4 linked regions of the Oryctolagus cuniculus genome follow. The protein of the gene in region 4 interacts with the protein of the main gene of each other region in a biochemical or structural test. Links are inferred from orthologs where the notes say so. Each region holds a gene or a part of one and is shown on either strand. Other genes may lie near its edges.

Region 1 (4,170 bases), on a different chromosome or scaffold from region 4:
CTCCAATCCCACCTCCTGCTCCCTCTCCCATCCCATTCTTAATTAGTATTCATTTTTTAATTAACTTTATATACAGAAGACCAACTCTATTCTAAGATTTCCAGTTTGCACCCACACAAACACACAAAGTATGAAGTACTGTTTGAAAACAAGTTTTGTAGTTAATTCTCATAGTACAACTCATTAAGGACAGAGGTCCTACATGGAGAGTAAGTGCACAGTGATTCCCAACAGGACTTTTAACTGAAAATACAGTTTAGTCAATGTACAATGACTACATACTGATTAAGGAAAATGGTCCTAATTAGATTATTATTGAGATTAAAGGGTGATGCTCACTAAATGGATACCCCTGTACCTAGAGTTAGTGATGATTCAATAAGTTATTCTGTCTTTAGATCTATTTTAGACTAATGGTATTTATTTTGATTTATAAAGATACTTATATTAATTTTGACTTCCTGCAGCCTCCCTACACCCCGTTAAAGATTTATTTGAAAGCTGGCAGAGTTAGAGAGGGAGAGACAGAGAGAAGGATCCTTCATCCACTGGTTCACTCCTCAGATGACTGCAATGGCTAGGGCTGGGCCAGGCCAGAGTCAGGAGCTTCATTGGGTCTCCCACATGGGTAGCAGGAGCTGAAGAACCTAAGACATCTTCTGGTGCTTTCTCAGGCCATTAGCAGGGAGCTGGATCAGAAGTGGAGCAGCTGGGACCCAAATCAGGAACCATTCTGATTGAAGGGGCAGACAAAATTGTATTACATTTATCATTATTATTTGTGTTATATATAACATAAAACATAGTTGGTGAGCTGTTAACTTCTGTATTTGTATAGATTGTTTCATAAAACGACCATCACAAGGATATCAAGACACTATAAAGAAAAGGGTTTCAGGTTAAATATGTGCCATCTTTAGAAGTATAAACATTTTAAGTTCTCATTTTATTCTTAAATAATAAGTATTTTCTACCTTTGATTTCTCAATAAATACTCAATTTTCCACAATGCTAAATAAGAAGAGTAAAATATTCATTAATACAAATCAAAAGTACAGAAGTAAAGAAATTTTTCAGAATCATGAGAGCAAAATTAAGAGCAGGCCCAAATTCATTTACTATCATTTTTCTTGACTGTACATGATTAAACTAGTTTTAAGCACCCAGTTCAGGATATTTGATAACTTTGGGGTGGAGAGTGAAGAATGTGGAAAAGAGTGAGAAGAATTTTCAGCTGTATCTGTAAAGTCTTGATTACTTTAAAAACATCTTAAAAATAAATTAGACAAAATGTTGAGTTCTGTGCTTTTGTGATATTTTCTAAGTTAGGTAGGTTTCTTAAATAGTTTTAAGATATTTTTGCTAATTCTGTTTCTAACAAGATTTTGTTTTGATAGCAAATATTTTAATTTTTTTTCTACAAAGAATAAAATACAGTATTGGATCCTTTTCTCCTGTTTCTGCTAATATCCTGAAAAAGACTCAACCAAAGCAAAAGCTACAATTGCAGCATATTTCTCAGAAAGACTTGAGAGAGAGTAAGATACAGGTGATGGAGCAGAATTTCCTGTGTGAAGAAACTCAGGAACCTGAACAAAAGCTTGTGTTGATTTCAGAACCCATCCACAGCGCTTCAAATGAACTGAGAGAACTCAATGAAAAAATGAGTCCTATGTTAAATACAGCTGAAAATGATACAAAACAAAATTTTACACAGCTACCTCCACATAAAAATAAACAGGAATTCATTCTTGACATTTCTGATACTAAATTAAGTAAAAACGACTTAGAAGAGCTAGGGGTAGATCACTGTCCTTGTAGGCTACAGACTTCTATACAAGTTTCTGTTTTCAGTGCAAATAGTGCTGCTCAACCAAAACAGAACTCAGATACTGTGAATTTTCCAACAAAGAATCTGAAGGAAAAGGAACTTCATTCATTACTTGGTCACAGTTCTGATCTGAGAACAATCAACAGTTCACAAGAGCACCTAACAGTTCAGGCAAAGACTCAATCCCCTCATCCTGGTGAAGAACCCAGTGAATGTGACATCAAAAATGTGGATAGTTTACGTTCTTGTAAAATACGTCGAAAAGTGAAAATGTTATTAGGACGAAATAAAAAAGAAAATCTGGAGCCAAATGCTGAATTGGATAAGAAGAGAACTGAATTTCTTATTACACAAGAAGAAAACAGAATCTGTAGTTCACCAGTACAGTCTCTACTGGACTTATTTCAGACTAGTGAGGAGAAGTCAGAATTTATGGGTTTCACAAGTTATACTGAAAACAGTGGTGTATGTGATGTTTTAGATATTTGGGAAGAGGAAAATTCTAATAATCTGTTGTCGATGTTTTTTTCTTCCCCCTCAAATTCTACATTTACTGGCTTTTAGACTTTAAAGGATGTGTATTTTTCGAAAGTCACATAGATCAAATTCTTGAAATCTATTTTAGAAATATATATAAAAATTCTTAGGAGTTTTTGGCTACCTTTGTTTACAGAACCAAATGTAAATATTAATAAAGGTGATGTTTCCAATTTTCTACAGAATTTAATATATTAGGAAAATTATAAACTTTTCACTTTGTCATATTTTACTGTGTTCATAATTATTTTGTGAGAATTATAATGAAAAATATAGTTTGCTGTATGCCACTAAAATTTGAGTTTGAGAATATTAAAAATGTATCAACATAAATTTGGATATTTTAAGTTACACTTATTGTCCATTACAATAGATTCTTATGATAACATGGCATTATTAAAAATCTGCAAATTAAAAACATTTCATGGAAAAGGAAAAGATGTGTTAATTTCTGTTAGAATTTTGGACGTCATTGTGACTCAGTTGGGTCAGGTTAGTGTTTTGTAACTGACAGATTATCTGTAGGGTAAATAGAAGCCATGAAGGAAAAACTTAACCAGCTGCAATGTGGACTATAGCTCTTGTGCTATTCTTAATTATTTACCTTTGGAAATAACTTTGAGAGTAGTGACTCATTATGCTTCTTCTAACTTAGTGTTGAGAGAAAAAGGATGGTATTGAATTGCAGATAGAGTTTTGAAATCTGTATCAGAATTGCTTTGCTCTACCACTTGCCTGTACAATATTTTGGAATAAATACACATATAACAGCAATTTATCTTTTTATCAGAAGATAGAAGGCAATAACAGTGGCATTTTTTCATGGTAGAAAATTGGTGCCATTGAATATCACATGAATACATTGTCACTAAAAATTAACTTTAGTTAACAGTTGTAAATTTTTGAAATCGTATATGGCTCCCAATATAGAATTAGTTGCATACTTTCTTATACATGGAAAGAGCATTTCCATTTCTTTCAGTACACTTGTATTATGTTAACCATTGCAGGTTACCAGTGAGAATACTGGCTTTTCAACAACTTGATTATTCTTACCAGTTCCTTAGGTAGGATCAATGAAAGAGTCTACAGTGCATATAAGCAAAGCTTGTTTTAGTTGTAGATCACTATTGTAGCATTTTCTGTCACAAATGAACATGTGTATCTCTGAATTGATGTCAAGTTTTATAGAGAGTGTTCTAAAAATCTAGAAACTTAGAAAATAATTTGAAGGGTTTTTTCCTTAAGTTAATATCTGTATGTCCCCCAAATCCAGAATAATTAAAAGGTAAACTTGCTATATTAATCTTTGACTCTACAGTGAGTCTCCTCAATTTGCAGTTATGTTTGCACCACAATTATTTGTATCATTTTGCTTCCCTGGTATTTAATGAAGGTGGGGGTGGGAGACTGAAGCTGAACCCTCTAGTAGTTGGTAAATACTTTGGATATTGGACTGAACACTGTAAGATTTTCATAATGAATAATCAGCTTTTACGAAATGTTTAGGTTGCAGTTTGTTTGAATGGTGCTATAAACTGAAGCAGGACTATCACATGGCATTTGCATTGGGTTGCATTATGGGGTGGGTACTCAGCCTATAGGATCAAAGCTGATAGAAATCCAGCATAGTTGCAGCATATAATTGTCCTGGCAATGAGTACATTCACCTAGAGGTCAGTGCTTTTGTAAGTTTTTTTTACCAAGGCCCAGCCTATGTATCTTAGGCATTGTGTCTACCCAGAGAAGATGATTCTTAAAAACTTAAATTAATTAAAAAATTCTTTTCTAGTGGCACTTAA
Region 2 (4,927 bases), on a different chromosome or scaffold from region 4:
GCATCCTATATGGGTGCCCATTTGCACTTCCAATCTGGCTCCCTGCTGATGGCCTGGGAAAGCAGTAAAAGGTGGCCCCAGTGCTTGGGCCTCTGCCACCCATGTGGGAGACCCAGAAAAATCTCCTTGCTCCTGGCTTTAACCTGGCCCAGCCTTGGCCATGTGGCTATCTGGGGAATGAACCAGCAAATGGAAGATCTCTGTCTCTCCTTTTCTCTCTAACTTTGTCTTTCAAAGAAATAAATAAAATATTAAGAAAAAAAGATTGGGGCGGGTATTGGCATAGCTGGTAAAGCCATCACCTGTAGTGCCAGCATCCCGAACGGGCACCAATTCATATCCTGGCTGCTCCACTTCCAATACAACTCCCTGCTGATGGCCTGGGAAAAACAGTAGAAGATGGCCCAAGTGTTTAGACTCCTGCCACCCATGTGGGAAGCCAAGATGAAGTTCCTGGCTCCTGGCTTCTGTCTGGCCCAGCCCTGGCCATCACTGCCATCTGGGGAGTGAACCAGCAGATGGAAGATGTCTCTCTCTATATATAACTCTGCCTTTCAAATAAATAAATACATCTTTAAAAAATTTAAAATATTTAGTCCCATATCTAAATTTTTCTTTTAAAATGATGAATTGTTGGTGTTGTTTGTTTGCTTGTTTTACTTAATTTTTTTGGCATCTACTTATTACAGTCAGTATCAAAATCATGGAAATCAACATTATTCCATTTTCCTTACCCGTTAAGAAACATTGTGATTAAGAACATTGGTTAGGAATAAACTAACAGGATTCAACTTGTAACTCAAGGGGCAAGTTTTGGCCTCGTGACTAAGGTGCTGGTTGAGATGTTTGCCTCCGATGTTGGAGTGCGTGGGTTTGAGTCCATCTCCATTGCCAATTGTAGCTTCTTGCTAAAGTGCACCCTGGGAGGCAACAGGTGATGGCTCAAGTGCTTGGGTCCCTGCCACCTATATGCGAGGCCTAGACTGAGTCCCAGCCTGACACAGCCCCAGCCCTTGTAGGCATCTGGGAGGTGAACGAGCTCTCCCTCTGTCTGTATCTCTCTCTCCTGTGCCTCTCTAAATAATTTTAAAAGTTTTTTTTTTTTTTTTTTTTTTTTTTTTAAGTCGTGGCTCCGAGACTTACTAGTTTAATGACCTTGGACAAGTTCTTTAACCTCTCTGTGCCTGTTTCTTCATCTGTGAACATGGAAAGAAATAGTAGCACCTTCCTCGTAGGGTTTCTTTGGAGAGTAAGTGAATTTGTTGTGGTAGATACGAAGTACTTAGATCAGAGCTAGTTGTGTAGTAAGTGTTCAATTAATGTTACCTGGAATGAACGTACTATTCTTACCATCTTATCTGCTACCAAATCTCAATTCATTCTTGTTTATCTTTTCCTTCTTTTTTCGCCACTTCTAATTACCTCATATTTGAATTATTATAGTGACCTCATAGCTGATAACAATTTTTATTTTAAAAGAATGCTTGCTTTCTTATCCAAGTGAGTTAAATGTTATACTATCTTGTGATGATTTAAGTCAGTTTTATACTGCATGCATGCATTGTTAAAGTTATATTTTTTTAAAAAAAGATTAAGCTGTAATGATTCAGTTTGATCTTTCCTCTAAAGCTCACTGAACTTTTTTCCACTAGGGGGCAAGACAACGTCATGGGAGTTAAATATTGCTTTAGGAAAAATGATCATGTTGTTATTGCTATGCCATACCTAGAACATGAGTCTTTTTTGGTAAGTTTTAATATTTCTTGAATTTTTATTAGCTAAATATTTAATTGAAAACTATCTTATGACCCTATTTATAACTTTATTTTAGGACATTTTGAATTCTCTTTCCTTTCAAGAAGTACGGGAATACATGTTTAATCTGTTCAGAGCTTTGAAACGCATTCACCAGTTTGGTATTGTTCACCGTGATGTTAAGCCCAGCAATTTTTTATATAATAGACGCCTGAAAAAGTGAGTATGAAGAGTTCCTAGATAATACTTTCACTTCAATGAATTTGTGTGATAGGGTCCAGCCCTTAGACATACACTTCAGCAGTCACGTCCAAATCGTTTCTTTCTTTGTGATTAGGAAAGGAAAATGCAGAGAAGATAACTTTGTATTAGTAAAGCAGTGTATATCATTAGAGGAACTGTGGTTTAGAGTAAATAACTCTTAGTTAAGAAACTTATAATCTTTGAATTTACACATGACTTCATTTTTCTTTTCTAATAAATGAGGAATTAAACCACATAATAACCAGTTTCCTGTTTAAACATTAAAGCTCTATTTTTATGTATACTTTTTATGCTAATTATATACATAGAGGAATAAAATAACTTAAATGCTGCTGTTTATATAGTATATCATATTGAATATGGTAACAAGATTAAGAGTGTAACTTGTTTGTTGGGATTTTATAGCCATGATTTTTCTTTTTCTTTTTAAAAATTTTTTTTTCTTAATTATTTTTAACAGATTCAGTGTGCTGTGTAGATAGAATTCTAAGAACATAGTGATATTCCCTCCTTCTCCCTTTCCCTCTCTTTTCCCCTGTCACCTTTCCACCCTCCTTTCTTTGCCCTTTTATTCTTTTTTTTAGTTTTTGAGATACATATTTTAAATTTACATTACAGTAAAAAGGTTTAATACTTCACTGAATAAGAAGTTTAACAAGGTGCTGGCACTGTGGCATAGCGGGTAGGGCCGCCTGCTGCCGGTTCGAGTCCTGGCTGCTCCGCTTCCAATCCAGCTCTCTGCTAAGGCCCGGGAAAGCAGTAGAAGATGGCCCAAGTCCTTGGGACCTTGCACCCATGTAGGAGACCTGGAAGAAGCTCCTGGATCCTGGCTTTGGATCGGCGCAGCTCCGGCTGTTGCAGTCAGTTGGAGAGTGAACCAGCAGATGGAAGACCTCTCTCTCTCTGCCTCTCCTTCTCTGTGTAACTGTGACTTTCAAGTACAAGGAAAAAAAAAAAAGTTTAACAAGTAAAAAGCAAAAAGACCTGAGCTTAGTGTGACTATAGACAATAGCTATACAGAATAATTGAATGGAAAAATGACCATTTCACCCCTATAGAGTAAATTTTTTATTTTTACTTATTTGAAAGGCAGAGAAACAGGGAGACAGAGGTTTCCCATTCACTAGTTTACCCTCCAAATGCTTATAACAGCTGGGGCTGGGCCAGGCCAAAAAACCAGGAGCTGAGAACTTAATCTGGTTCTCCCACATGAGTGACAGGGACCTGGGTACTAGAACCATACCCCTGCTGCCTACCTCGGTGTACTTTAGCAGGAAGCTGGAATGGAGAGCAGAGCTGAGACTTAAACCAAGTACTCTGATAGGGCATGCAAAAGATATCCCAAGCAGCAGCTTAACTTCGGTGCTAAATGCCCACTCCTTTAGTTTTTAAAAATTAAGTCATATGTTAAAACCATTATTTCAACTTCTCTTTTAAACTTGTTTTATTAGAAATTACCTGCTGTGATGCCATCTGTGCCACGATCAGAGAATAAAGCATTGTATTTATATTGCCCCATTAACATAGGCCACTGGAAAAGAGAGAGAAAAGCAGTTGACTGTGGAGTGTGTCATTTCTTTTTCTCTTTTTTGTTTTAAGATTTATTTTATTTATATGAAAGAGCCGAGAGAGGAAGAGACAGAGAGAAACATCTTCAATTTGCTGGTTTGTTCTCCAAATAGACACAATAGTCAGAGCTGAGCAAGACTGAAGCTAGTATCCTAGAAGTCCATCTGAGTCTTCCATGCAGGTGGCAGGGACCCTGGACCCAAACACTTGGACCATCTTCTACTGCTTTTCTTAGGTATATTAGGGAGCTTGAGGGGCTGGCGCTGTGGCGCAGTGGGTTAATGCCCTGGCCTGAAGCACCGGCATCCCATATGGGCACCGGTTAGAGACCTAGCTGCTTCACTTCTAATCCAACTCTCTGCTATGGCCTGAGAAAGTAGCAGCAGATGGCCCATATCCTTGGGCCCCTGCACCCATGTGGGAGACTTGGAAAAGCTCCTGGCTTCGGAATGGCACAGCTCCGGCCATATGGTCAGTTGGGGGTGAACCATCGGATGGAAGACCTCTCTCTCTCTCTGCCTTTCCTCTCTCTGTGTAACTCTTTCAAATAAATAAATCTTAAAAAAAAAAAAAAAAAAGAGCTGGAACAAAATGGAGCAGCTGGGACTTTAACTGGGGCACCCGTAGGAGATGCCAGTATTGCAGTTAGCAGTTTAGCCTGCTAAGCCATAGTGCCAGCTCCTGGAATATATAATTTCTTTTTTTTTTTTTTTTTAAGATTTATTTGAAAGACAAAGTTACACAGAGGCAGAGAGAAGGAGAGAGAAAAGTCTTCCATCCTCTGGTTCACCCCCAAATGGCCTCAACAGCTGGAACTGGGCTCATCTGACCCAGAGCCAGGAGCTTCCTCCAGGCCTCCCACAGGGTTGCAGGGGCCCAGCAATTAGGCCATCTTCTGCTTTCCCAGGCCATAGGAGAGAGCTGAATCAGAAGTGGAGCAGCCAGAACTTGAACAGGCGCCCATATGGGATGGCGGCACTGCAGGTGGTGGCTTTACCTGCTATGCTACAGCGCCAGCCCCTATATCATTTCTTAATTTTCAATTCTACCTTGGTGTTAAATCCTTGCTTTGTAAAATGTATTTTTTTTTCTTGAACACTGTTCTTTCTTTCTTTCTTTCTTTTTTTTTTTTTTTTTTTTTGACAGGCAGAATTAGAGAGAGAGAAAGGTCTTCCTTTTTCCATTGATTCACCCCCCAAATGGTTGCTACTGCCGGTGCACTGCGCCGATCCAAAGCCAGGAGCCAGGTGCAGGGCCCAAGTACTTGAGCCATCTCCACTGCCTTCCTGGGCTGCACCAGAGAGCTGCACGGAAGAGGAGCAGCCGGGACAAAATCCAG
Region 3 (4,927 bases), on a different chromosome or scaffold from region 4:
GAGACCAGGAAAAGCACCTGGCTCCTGGCTCCTGCCAGGATCAGCGCGGTGCGCCGGCTGCAGCGGCGGCCATTGGAGGGTGAACCAACGGCAAAGGAAGACCTTTCTCTCTCTGTCTCTCTCTCTCACTGTCCACTCTGCCTGTCAAAAAAAAAAAAAAAAAAAAAAAAAAAAAACATTTATTATTTATTTAAAAGGAGAGTTAGAGAGAGAGAGAGAGGTCTTCCATCTGCTGATTCACTCCCCAAATGGCCGCAATGGCTGGAGCTGGGCCAATCAGGAGCCAGGAGCTTCTCCTGGGTCTCCTACGCAGGTACAGGGGCCCAAGGACTTGGGCCATCTTCCAGTGCTTTCTCAGTCCATAACAGAGAGCTGGATCAGAGTGGAGCAGCCAGGACTCCAGCTGGCACCCACATGGGATGCCAGCACTGCAGGCGGCAGCTTAACATGCTGCACCACAGAGCTGGCCCCCATTACAAGCTTTTAATTGGATCCTCCACAAACTTTTTGAAGTATCCCAATATTAAAACAGGGAAACTTAGATCCTTGCTTATAAGAAAACTTCTCTGCAGTCTTTTCGCCTACAGATGACGATAGAGAACATGAACCATTTGAAGTTCATCCCCCACAAAGACTACGCGGCGAATCGCTTGGTCAGTGGACTCCTGCAGCTGCCCAGCAACACCTCCCTCGTCATTGACGAGACGCTCCTGGAGCAGGGTCAGCTGGACAGCCCAGGTAGGGGCGGGGCTCCTCCTCCACCTCCACCCTCCCTGCCCTGAAAGGCAGATGTACAAATGACCTGAGATAGGGTATCTCTGAACAAAGTCACATTTCTTTTTCTTTTTTTAAAGACTTATTTATTTGAAAGTCAGAGATTGATTGTCCATCCGCTATTCACTTTCCAAATGACCACAACAGCTGGTGCTGGGCCAGGCCGAAGCCGAGAGTCTCATTTGGGTCTCCCATGTGGGTGCAGGGGCCCAAACACTTGGGCCATCTTCCATTGCTTTTTCCCTAGGCCATTAGCAGGGAGGTGGATCGGAAGGGGAACAACCAGGACACGAACCCGTGCCCATGTGGGATGCTGGCATCGCAGGCAGCAAGCTCTACCAGCTGTGCTATGTATTTATTTTCATTTGAAAAGCAGAAAGAGGGAAAGCGGTATCTTCCATCCAGTGGTTCACTCCCCAGAGACCCTCAACAGCCAAGAGCCCAAAGCTCCACATGGGTCCCCCACATGTTCTGTCACCTGCAGCCTCCCAGGATGTACATTAGGAAGAAGCTGGACTGTACGCAGAGGAGCCAGGACTTGAACCAGGCCCTCTCATACAGGACGCCAGTGTCCTAAGCAATAGTTTAAGTGCTCTGCCAAACTCTTGCCTCCAGTATAAAGTTTTCAGGGAACCTCTGAGAAAGTATGTAATAGACCACATAGTTTGAAGTAACCTCAGTTATGGAACATGTTATTAAATTTATAGGAAAACACTTTTTAAAAGTTTTATTTATTTGCAAGTCAGAGTTACACACAGAGAGGAGAGGCAGAGAGAAAGAGGTCTTCCATCTGATGGTTCACTCCCCAGATGGCCACAATGGCTGGAGCTGCGCTGATCTGAAGCCGGGAGCTTCTTCAGGTCTCCCACGTAGGTGCAGGGGCCCAAGGACTTGGGCCATCTTCTACTGCTTTCCCAGGCCACAGCAGAGAGCTGGATGGGAAGTGGAGCACCTGGGTCTTGTACTGGTGCCCATATGGGATGCTGGTGCTTCAGGCTAGGGCATTAACCTACTGCACCACAGCGCCAGCCCCAGAAAACAGACTTTTATCCATGCTGAAACACAGAGAATGGAGATGCGACTGCTGGTGATAAGTTCAGGAGGTAAGAGGAGAAGAAAAAAATAATGCAGACTGAGTACATGTAAAGTAGAAGAGAGTATAAAACATCAGTAAACATCACAGGGCTGCTGTAGCATCATGGGTAAAGCTGCCCCCTGTGATGCCAGCATCTCATACGGGTGCTGCTTTGTGTCCCAGCTGCCCCACTTCTATCCAGCTCCTTGCCTGTGGAGAGGGTCCAAGTGTCCAGGCTCCTGCCACCTATGTGGGGGACCAGGATCCGATATAGCTCCTGGCTTCAGCCTGGTCGAACCCTCCATTGCGGCCATCTGGAGAGTGAACCAGTACATGGAAGATCCTTCTCTTTCCCTGTCTGTAAATCTGCCTTTCAAATAATTAAAGTAAATCTTTTTTAAAAAGTTTTAGCCCTATCATTATTTCAGGCCGTAGGAGCACATTGCCTTGGATCCTTTATGCCCTGTGGCACATCAGACACGAGGCGTTTGATTTGGGGACATCTTCACCCTAGAAGGTTCTAGCTTGACAGAAAAGCCCTGTTGTCTGTGGAGCATATCACCTAAGGAATATTTAGTAAATTGGAGAGGGCTCTATATCCTTTAATAAAGCAGTGGGAACCTCATGTGCTAACATCTGTGTCAGCAAAACTAATTTGGTGATTCAAATCCAATGACTGGAAATGGCCTCGCTTTTCTAGGGGTCCACAACGTGACTGCCCTGAGCAAGCTCATAACCTGGCAGAAGGTGGATTACGACTTTAGCTACCACCAGATGGAGTTCCCTTGCAACATCAACGTTCTCATCACCTCGGAGGGGCGCTCCCTCCTCCCGGTAGGCCGGGGCCTGTGTGCCTGGAGGGGCTCAGTTACCCTGCGCCGGGTTTTGATGCTGCTGATAATCAGTGCGCTGCACTCGTATACAACTTGTGGCTACTGATTGTTAATAAGGAAATTGATTATTCTGTTCCTTCCTTGGGGTGAAAGCTTCTATTTGCAAAGAAGCAGGTGTCCACACAGTACAAGGTATGCAAAGCCCCTGGCAGCAGGGCTGCCACGTCGTGGCCTGGGAGGTAGAAGTGGCTGGTTACTTGCCCGAGTATCACCCTGTTGTTTTCAGCCAAGCTTGTGTGAGAAATGCTCTAGAGATCTTGGCAGATGCTCCTAGTCCCTTGGCGCTGTGTTCAGGGTGACCAGTCCTGCTGGTTGCCAGGTGTCTATGATGCCCCCACCGCTGGAGAGGAGGCGCCCGTGACAGGGCAAGGCTCGCTGGGCAGCTGTCTGGGAGCGTGCTGGGTAACCGAGAGCCAGCCATCTTCTGTCAGCACTGCGCAGGTCCCCTAGTGCGTAGAAACCAGAAACGGTGTTTTCTAACTCCCCTGGCGGCTGCTAGCGATGTCGCACCCTCCCGAAAACGGAGATTAAATCAGGAACGTGGGGAGACCGCGTCCTGCTTCTCTGTGCAGGCCGACTGCCAGGTGCACTTGCAGCCCCAGCTCGTCCCACCCAACATGGAGGAGCACATGAGCAGCCTGCTGGCCGGCGTGCTGCCCTCGGCGCTCAGCAAGTTCCGCGTCTACCTGACCCTGCTGCGGTTCCTGGACTACAGCATCTCCGACGACGTGACCAAGGTACCGCAGGGCGCCTGGGCGGAGCCGCTGTGCGGTCATGTGCAGGCAGACCGTGATCTGCTGGTTCAGTCCCCAAACGGCCAACAGCTCGGCCAGGCGGGAGCTTCATCCAGCTCTCACAAGGTGGTACAAGGGCCCAAGCCCCTGGGCCATCTCCCACTGCATTCCCAGGCACATTTGCAGGGAGCTGGATTGGAGTGGGGTAGCTGGGACTCAAACAGATGCCGGCATCGTAGGCAGCTTAACCCTTTGGATCACCATGCCCACTCCTCTTTTTTCTATTCCTCTCTTCCTCCATTATTGGCAACTTTCATTTGAAATGGATGTTTTCGGGCCTGGGGTCAACTGCTTCCATTCCAGCTCCCTGCTGATGTGCCTGGGAAAGTAGCCTGGGCCCCTGCACCCACATCGGAGATTTGGATGAAGCTCCTGGATCCTGTCTTTGGCCTGGCCCAGCCCTGGCCATTGTATTCATTTGAGGAGTGAACCAGTGGATAGAAGAGCTCTCTCTCTGCCTCTACTTCTCTGTAACTGAGTTTCAAATAAATAAATTTTAATAATATAACCTATTTGGGATTAATGCCAGTTTATTTAAAAATATGTAACCTGTATGACTATAAAGATTTATGTGTTGGAGAGGCAGAGAGGTCTTCCATCCGCTGGTTCACTCCTCAGATGGCCACAACGTCTGGAGCTGTGCCAATCTGAAGCCAGTAGCTTCTTCTGGATCTCCTATGCAGGTGCAGGGGTCCACTTGGACCATCTTCTGCTGCTTTCCCAGGCCATAGCAGAGAGCTGGACTGGAAGAGAGGTAGCTGGTACTTGAACTAGCACCCATATGGGATGCTGGAAATATAGGTGGCGGCTTTACCCGCTGAGACACAGTGCCAACCCCAGGTTACATTTTCAGACATCGTACACCCGTTAACACATTTGCAACTTACTGCTTCTATGCACTTGTCTTTTAAATCAGAGGAAAAAAGGCCTTTATTTTTACATTCACCTACGTCGTTACCTTTGCCAGGCTGAGTTTTATGTCACCATCCAGTGTCCTCTCATGCCAACCTGAAGCACTCAGTGTTTCCCGTAGGGAATGTCTGAATTTCTCCTTCATGCTGGTTTGCTGGGTAGAATTCTGGGCTTATAGTCCTCTTTCAAGCACTTTTAACCGCCTTCTGGCCTCTGCTTTCTCATGAGAGGATCGTTGGTACACAGCAAGCCGCTCTGCTCGACAGCCCGCCGTGGCATGTCTTCAGCTTGTCCTGGCTGGAGTTAGTTGAGCTTCTTGAATGTTGCACACTAAAGCACATTCTGGTGAAGTTGTCAGCGAATTTGGGAAATTTGGGCCATTATTTCTGTAAATTTCTCTTCGTCCTCTCCCCCTGGCATTCCCGTGATGTGTATGGTGGTGCACTTACCGCACGAATCTGGGCTTTGCTCTTTCTCTT
Region 4 (4,927 bases):
TTATAATCAGTTTAAAATAAACACGGGATAGTCATGAAAGAGAAATGTAAATCCAGGGATAAGTAGCCAGAATTATGCTCTCTTGGTGGATTTGGAGACAGAATTGTCTTGTGTATTTAGGTAGTAGCTGACTATCAGGAATAGTTGGAAGGGGTGCTGAAGTTGTGGGGTATGACATAGTGGTAAGGCCTGTGGCACCGGCATCCCATATGTGTGCTGCTTTGAATCCTGGTTGCTCTATTTCCTATCCAGCTCCCTGCTAATGTGCCTGGGAAAGCAGTGGAAGATAGCCCAAGTTCTTGGGCCCCTGTATCCACTGGGAGACCTGGAAGAAGCTCCTAGATCCTGGCGGGGTCCCTCCTGGCCTGTGTGGCCATTTAGGGAGTGAACCAATGGATGGAAGATCTCTTATCTCTGTGTCTCCTCTCTCTAGCTCTGTCTTTCAGATAAATAAAATCTTTATAAAAAAAAGAAAGGTTGGAAGAATATATACCCTGAAGACTTAGAATCCTCACAAGTGAGGGAGAGAGAGAAAATTAGGTTTAGAGGTAGGAGTGAGTACCTGTGCTAAACTTCCTAAATGAGCTGTCCATCTTTTTTTTTTTTTTCTAGGTCTGTTCCTTAAACCAAGCTACCATAGCTATTGGGGACTTAAGATACACCAGATGAACCAGTCAAGTGAAACATTTCTGCGTGTTTGCTAAATTTCTCCCTTATCCTCATCCATTATCAGTTAAGAATGTAACCAAAAACTACTATATATGCTAGGGCCTGACAACAAATATGAAGTTGTCTTAATTAGATTGTAAACAGCCCTGTGAAAACTCACAGTATTCAGCATCATACTGACAAGACAGATGGTTTAGGTAGAGTTGTGTTGGACAAAGGAGTGACCTTTGTCACTAGAATGTGAGTGCTAAATTACTCAAAGATAAGATAGGTATAGCATTTATCTTTGGTGTTATGTGGTGGGATGGGAGAGGGTTGAAAGAGACTCTTAAACCCAGATTAGATGATAGAAATGTCCTGTACAGTTAAGTCCTAGGGCTTGATTGTGACCAGATGAAATTCCTTAGACTCAGCTGTTGCAAGAGAGATGTAAGATATCTGAGCTATCAGCTGACTTTTTTCTTTTTCAGAGTTTACCCTTACCTGTGTCGGGCCTTAAAAACTTTCGTCAAAGACCGGAAAGAGATCCCTCTTGCCAAGGATTTTTATGTTGCATTTCAAGACCTGCCTACTAGACACAAGTAAGAAAAACTCTTCTTAGAAAAGGAATTCACCAAATAATATTGGTACCATTTAGCTGACAGTCAGAAAATTTGGGAGGTTACACTGATGTGCTATAGCGAGCTGTTTAATATCACACAAATCACATTTGCCTCCTGGGGCCTCAGTTTTTCATATGTAAAATCTTTTGGTTTAGATTTTTTTTTCTACCTAATCATGCAAAAGGTAGATTTCTTGCTGTAAAATTACTTATTCATGCTTGGTAGTGACAAGAATTGAAAAAAATAAAAAGAAAGTACTTATAAATTGATGAATATGGGGGGAGGAATAGTGTTTTGTGTGCACATTTTGTAAACAGATTGGCTTTTTTCTAGTTACACCTGGTTGTACAGAACATTTAGTTTTAGAAAAACATGATTTTCTATGAAGATGGGATGGTAAGTAAAGTGAAGCAGATTCTTATGATTGTTCATTTTATAGCACATTTAAAAAGGGAAGCTTGGGGCAAAAATGAGAAAATAGCACTCAGAACACTTGTAGAGATTTATAAATCTTCTGAATATTTTGTTATCTTAAATACAAAGCTTTCAAATAGTCTTTAGTAATTACGTTAAAAAGATACTATTGAAAGAAATTGAAGTGGTATTTTTGCTCAATCTCGGGTGGCTGAACGCCACTTATCCCTCTAAGAAGTTGGGGGACGCCGACCGCTCGGGGGTCGCGTAACTGAAGTGGTATTTTTGAGAACTAAAACTGCTGAAAATATGTTACGAAATTACCAAGTTTTTCATATAAAATGTATGTGTGAAATAGTTTTTCAACTTCTGAGTATAACATTTTTTCCTTTGATAACTTCATTATGAAAGTAATTAATGATTTCTTAGAAATTGTAGATAAGCAAAAACAGTATATAAAACAAAGCTGAGATTATCCTGTTTGTAATTTTAACTTTATTTGGTGTCCTTTAGTTAGCTTTTCATATTTATTCATCTATATGTTTTGTTGTGAATATGTGTGCACTGTGTAATTTAGGAATAGGGGTGTTGACAAAGAATCGTTTTTTTTCAGTAGTGTCCAAAGAACACTTTGCCTTTTTTTTTAAAGTGTAAATTATCATTGAATTTTCTCATTAGGATGGAAAGATTTCTTAGTTGAGAAATGAATATTTACTAGTGGGATATTTATCTTTAAACAGGATTCGTGAACTCACTTCATCCAGAATTGGTTTGCTCACCCGCATCAGTGGGCAGGTGGTACGGACTCACCCAGTTCACCCAGAGCTAGTGAGCGGAACATTCCTGTGCTTGGACTGTCAGACAGTGATCAAGGATGTAGAACAGCAGTTCAAATACACACAGCCAAATATCTGCCGAAACCCAGTTTGTGCCAATAGGAGAAGATTCTTGCTGGATACAAATAAATCGAGATTTGTTGATTTTCAGAAGGTATTTCTTTCCTTTTCTTTAGACCAGATTCAGTTCTGATTCCCTTTCTGGCCCTTGCAATTAGTTTATTTAGGTAATGTTAAATTCAGTCTTTATGTGAATTATCGTTGAAAGTGACCATAGAGATGTGTGTTTAGTAGTTAAGATTCCTGTGTCCCATACCAGAATACCTGGGTTTGAATCTCAGTTCTGTATCCTGATTCCAGCTTCCTGCTAATGCAGATCTTGGAAGGGAACAGTGATAGCTCAAGTAATTAGTTTCCTGCCCCCCACTTGGGAGAGCTGGATTGAGTTCCTAGCTCCTGGCTTTGGCACCTGGCCTAGTCTGTCATTGTGGGCATTTGGGGAGTGAACCAGATGGGAGCACTGTCTGTTTGTCTCTCTTTCTTCCAAATAAATATGAAAGGGGAGAAAGGAAAGAAATATATTTGTCAAAGAATAAACAGTAGCTATTATGATAATGATGAAGAAGAATTGGAGTTAAGAAAACTTAGGAGAAGTAGCAATATATTAGTATAAAACTTTGAATTGGTTAAAAAAAAAGCATGAGTGAATGGACAGGCTAAGATGGAAGCTATGAGATGATCATGATTGAAGTGTTAAGATCCAAATTGGAGGTCAGCTGAGAGATGATTTCATATGAAGCCTATAGGTGTTTGGATCCTTAAATCTTAGTTGACAAGTTCAGCACTGTCTGTAAGAATTGGAGATACAGCTATATTATTTAAGAGGCAAAGTCCTCATCTCCTGGTTCATTCCCCAAATGCCCAGGATGCCTGGATTGGGCCAGGCTGAACCTAGGATCTGGGAATTCAGTCCATTTGTACTTGATGGGTGGCAGGAACTCAACCACTTGAACCATCACCTGCTACATTCCAGGATGTGCTTTAGCAGGAAGTTGGAATCAGGAGCAGATTCCTGACTTGAAGTCAGGTACTCTGATTTGAAGACCAAACACTGACTCAGATTTTCTTTTCTTTTTTTTTTTTTCTTTTTTTTTTTTTTTTTCCAGGGGAAATTTAATGGGACAGTGTTTAATAAATCTTAACAGGTAGTTTTAGTTGCCTGGGTAAGAAGCGATGGTAGTAAGAATGAAGAGGAGGAGTCAGCATCATGGCTCAGGGTTGAACCACCACCTGTGATGCTGGTATTTCCATATGAGCACCAGTGTGAGTCCCAGCTACTCCACTTCTGATCCAGCTCTATGCTAATGTGCATGGGAAAGCAGTGGAAGATGGCTCAAGCATTTGGGCCCCTGATGCCCATGTGGGAGACCTGGATGGGGTTCCAGATTCCTACCTTCAGCCTGCCACAGTCCTGTCCGTTGGGGCCACTTCGGAAGTGAACCAGCAGGTGGAAGATCTCTTCCTGTCTCTTCCTATCTCTAACTCTGCCTTTCAAATAAATGTATAATTAGAGGTGAGGGGAGATCTTTCATCTGCTGGTTCACTCCCTAAATGGCCACAATGACCAGGGCTGGGCCTTGCTGAAGTCTGCAGCCAGGAGCTTCTTCCGGGTCTCCCATCTTCCATTGTTTCCCTAGGCTTACTAGCAGGGAGCGGGATTGAAAGTGGAGCAGCCAGGACATGAACCAGCACCCATATGGCATGCCAACACCGTGGATCGAGGTGTAACCAACCCACTGTGCCACAGCACCGACTCCAATAAATTTCTAAAAAAGAGAGAGAAGCTCTCAGACCTTGGTAAATTTCTATAGGATATGCAAAGAAGAGAAGCTTTAGCATGGAGAAATGATCAGAGTAAAACGAGTAAAGTTGAATTCTGTTTTTCTTAAGGCAGTTTTCTTAAGCTTAATTTTCTTAAGCCAATCTGATAATTTATAAGAAGCATCAATACTTTAGGAGAGAGTTTATTAAAAGAACATGATGCGGGCCATGTGTTGTGGCACAGCAGGTTGAACCACTGCTTCAAATGCCTGCATCTCATATTGGAGTGCTAGTTCAAGTCATGGCTGCTCCATGTCCAGTCTGGCATTCCTGCTAATGCATCCTGAGAGGCAGCAGATGGTGGCTCAAGTGCTTGGTCCCCTGCCATTATGGGAGACTTGGATGAAGTTGAGGCTCAGCCCTGGTTGTTGGCAGGCATTTGGTGAGTGAACCAGAGGATGGAAGATAACTGTGTGTCTACCACATGATGTGACTGTGAGATACAAAGCATGTGTCTAGACTAGGTCTTGGTTTGGGGGAAAGAACATAACTATAATAAAGGATGTTCTTGGAGCTGACATTTGG

The links.
Region 1: of the proteins of MCM6 (region 4) and DBF4, one has a biochemical effect on the other in vitro, tested with the Homo sapiens proteins (2 studies listed by BioGRID). The link is inferred for Oryctolagus cuniculus from reciprocal best matches to the Homo sapiens genes MCM6 and DBF4.
Region 2: of the proteins of MCM6 (region 4) and CDC7, one has a biochemical effect on the other in vitro, tested with the Homo sapiens proteins (2 studies listed by BioGRID). The link is inferred for Oryctolagus cuniculus from reciprocal best matches to the Homo sapiens genes MCM6 and CDC7.
Region 3: the proteins of MCM6 (region 4) and MCMBP form a complex in vitro, tested with the Homo sapiens proteins (2 studies listed by BioGRID). The link is inferred for Oryctolagus cuniculus from reciprocal best matches to the Homo sapiens genes MCM6 and MCMBP.

What each region holds. Positions count from the first base shown.
Region 1 is NC_091447.1:47,448,366-47,452,535, reverse strand, and holds the end of DBF4 (protein DBF4 homolog A), read left to right. Parts: intron 1-1,425; coding exon 1,426-2,395; 3' UTR 2,396-2,806; downstream 2,807-4,170. UniProt on the Homo sapiens protein: Regulatory subunit for CDC7 which activates its kinase activity thereby playing a central role in DNA replication and cell proliferation. Required for progression of S phase.
Region 2 is NC_091438.1:79,103,267-79,108,193, reverse strand, and holds part of CDC7 (cell division cycle 7-related protein kinase), read left to right. Parts: intron 1-1,652; coding exon 1,653-1,746; intron 1,747-1,831; coding exon 1,832-1,974; intron 1,975-2,433; exon of another isoform or gene 2,434-2,950; intron 2,951-3,477; exon of another isoform or gene 3,478-3,550; intron 3,551-4,927. UniProt on the Homo sapiens protein: Kinase involved in initiation of DNA replication. Phosphorylates critical substrates that regulate the G1/S phase transition and initiation of DNA replication, such as MCM proteins and CLASPIN.
Region 3 is NC_091446.1:10,873,336-10,878,262, forward strand, and holds part of MCMBP (mini-chromosome maintenance complex-binding protein), read left to right. Parts: intron 1-572; coding exon 573-738; intron 739-2,549; coding exon 2,550-2,683; intron 2,684-3,314; coding exon 3,315-3,479; intron 3,480-4,927. UniProt on the Homo sapiens protein: Associated component of the MCM complex that acts as a regulator of DNA replication.
Region 4 is NC_091434.1:107,465,454-107,470,380, forward strand, and holds part of MCM6 (DNA replication licensing factor MCM6), read left to right. Parts: intron 1-1,139; coding exon 1,140-1,250; intron 1,251-2,425; coding exon 2,426-2,675; intron 2,676-4,927. UniProt on the Homo sapiens protein: Acts as a component of the MCM2-7 complex (MCM complex) which is the replicative helicase essential for 'once per cell cycle' DNA replication initiation and elongation in eukaryotic cells.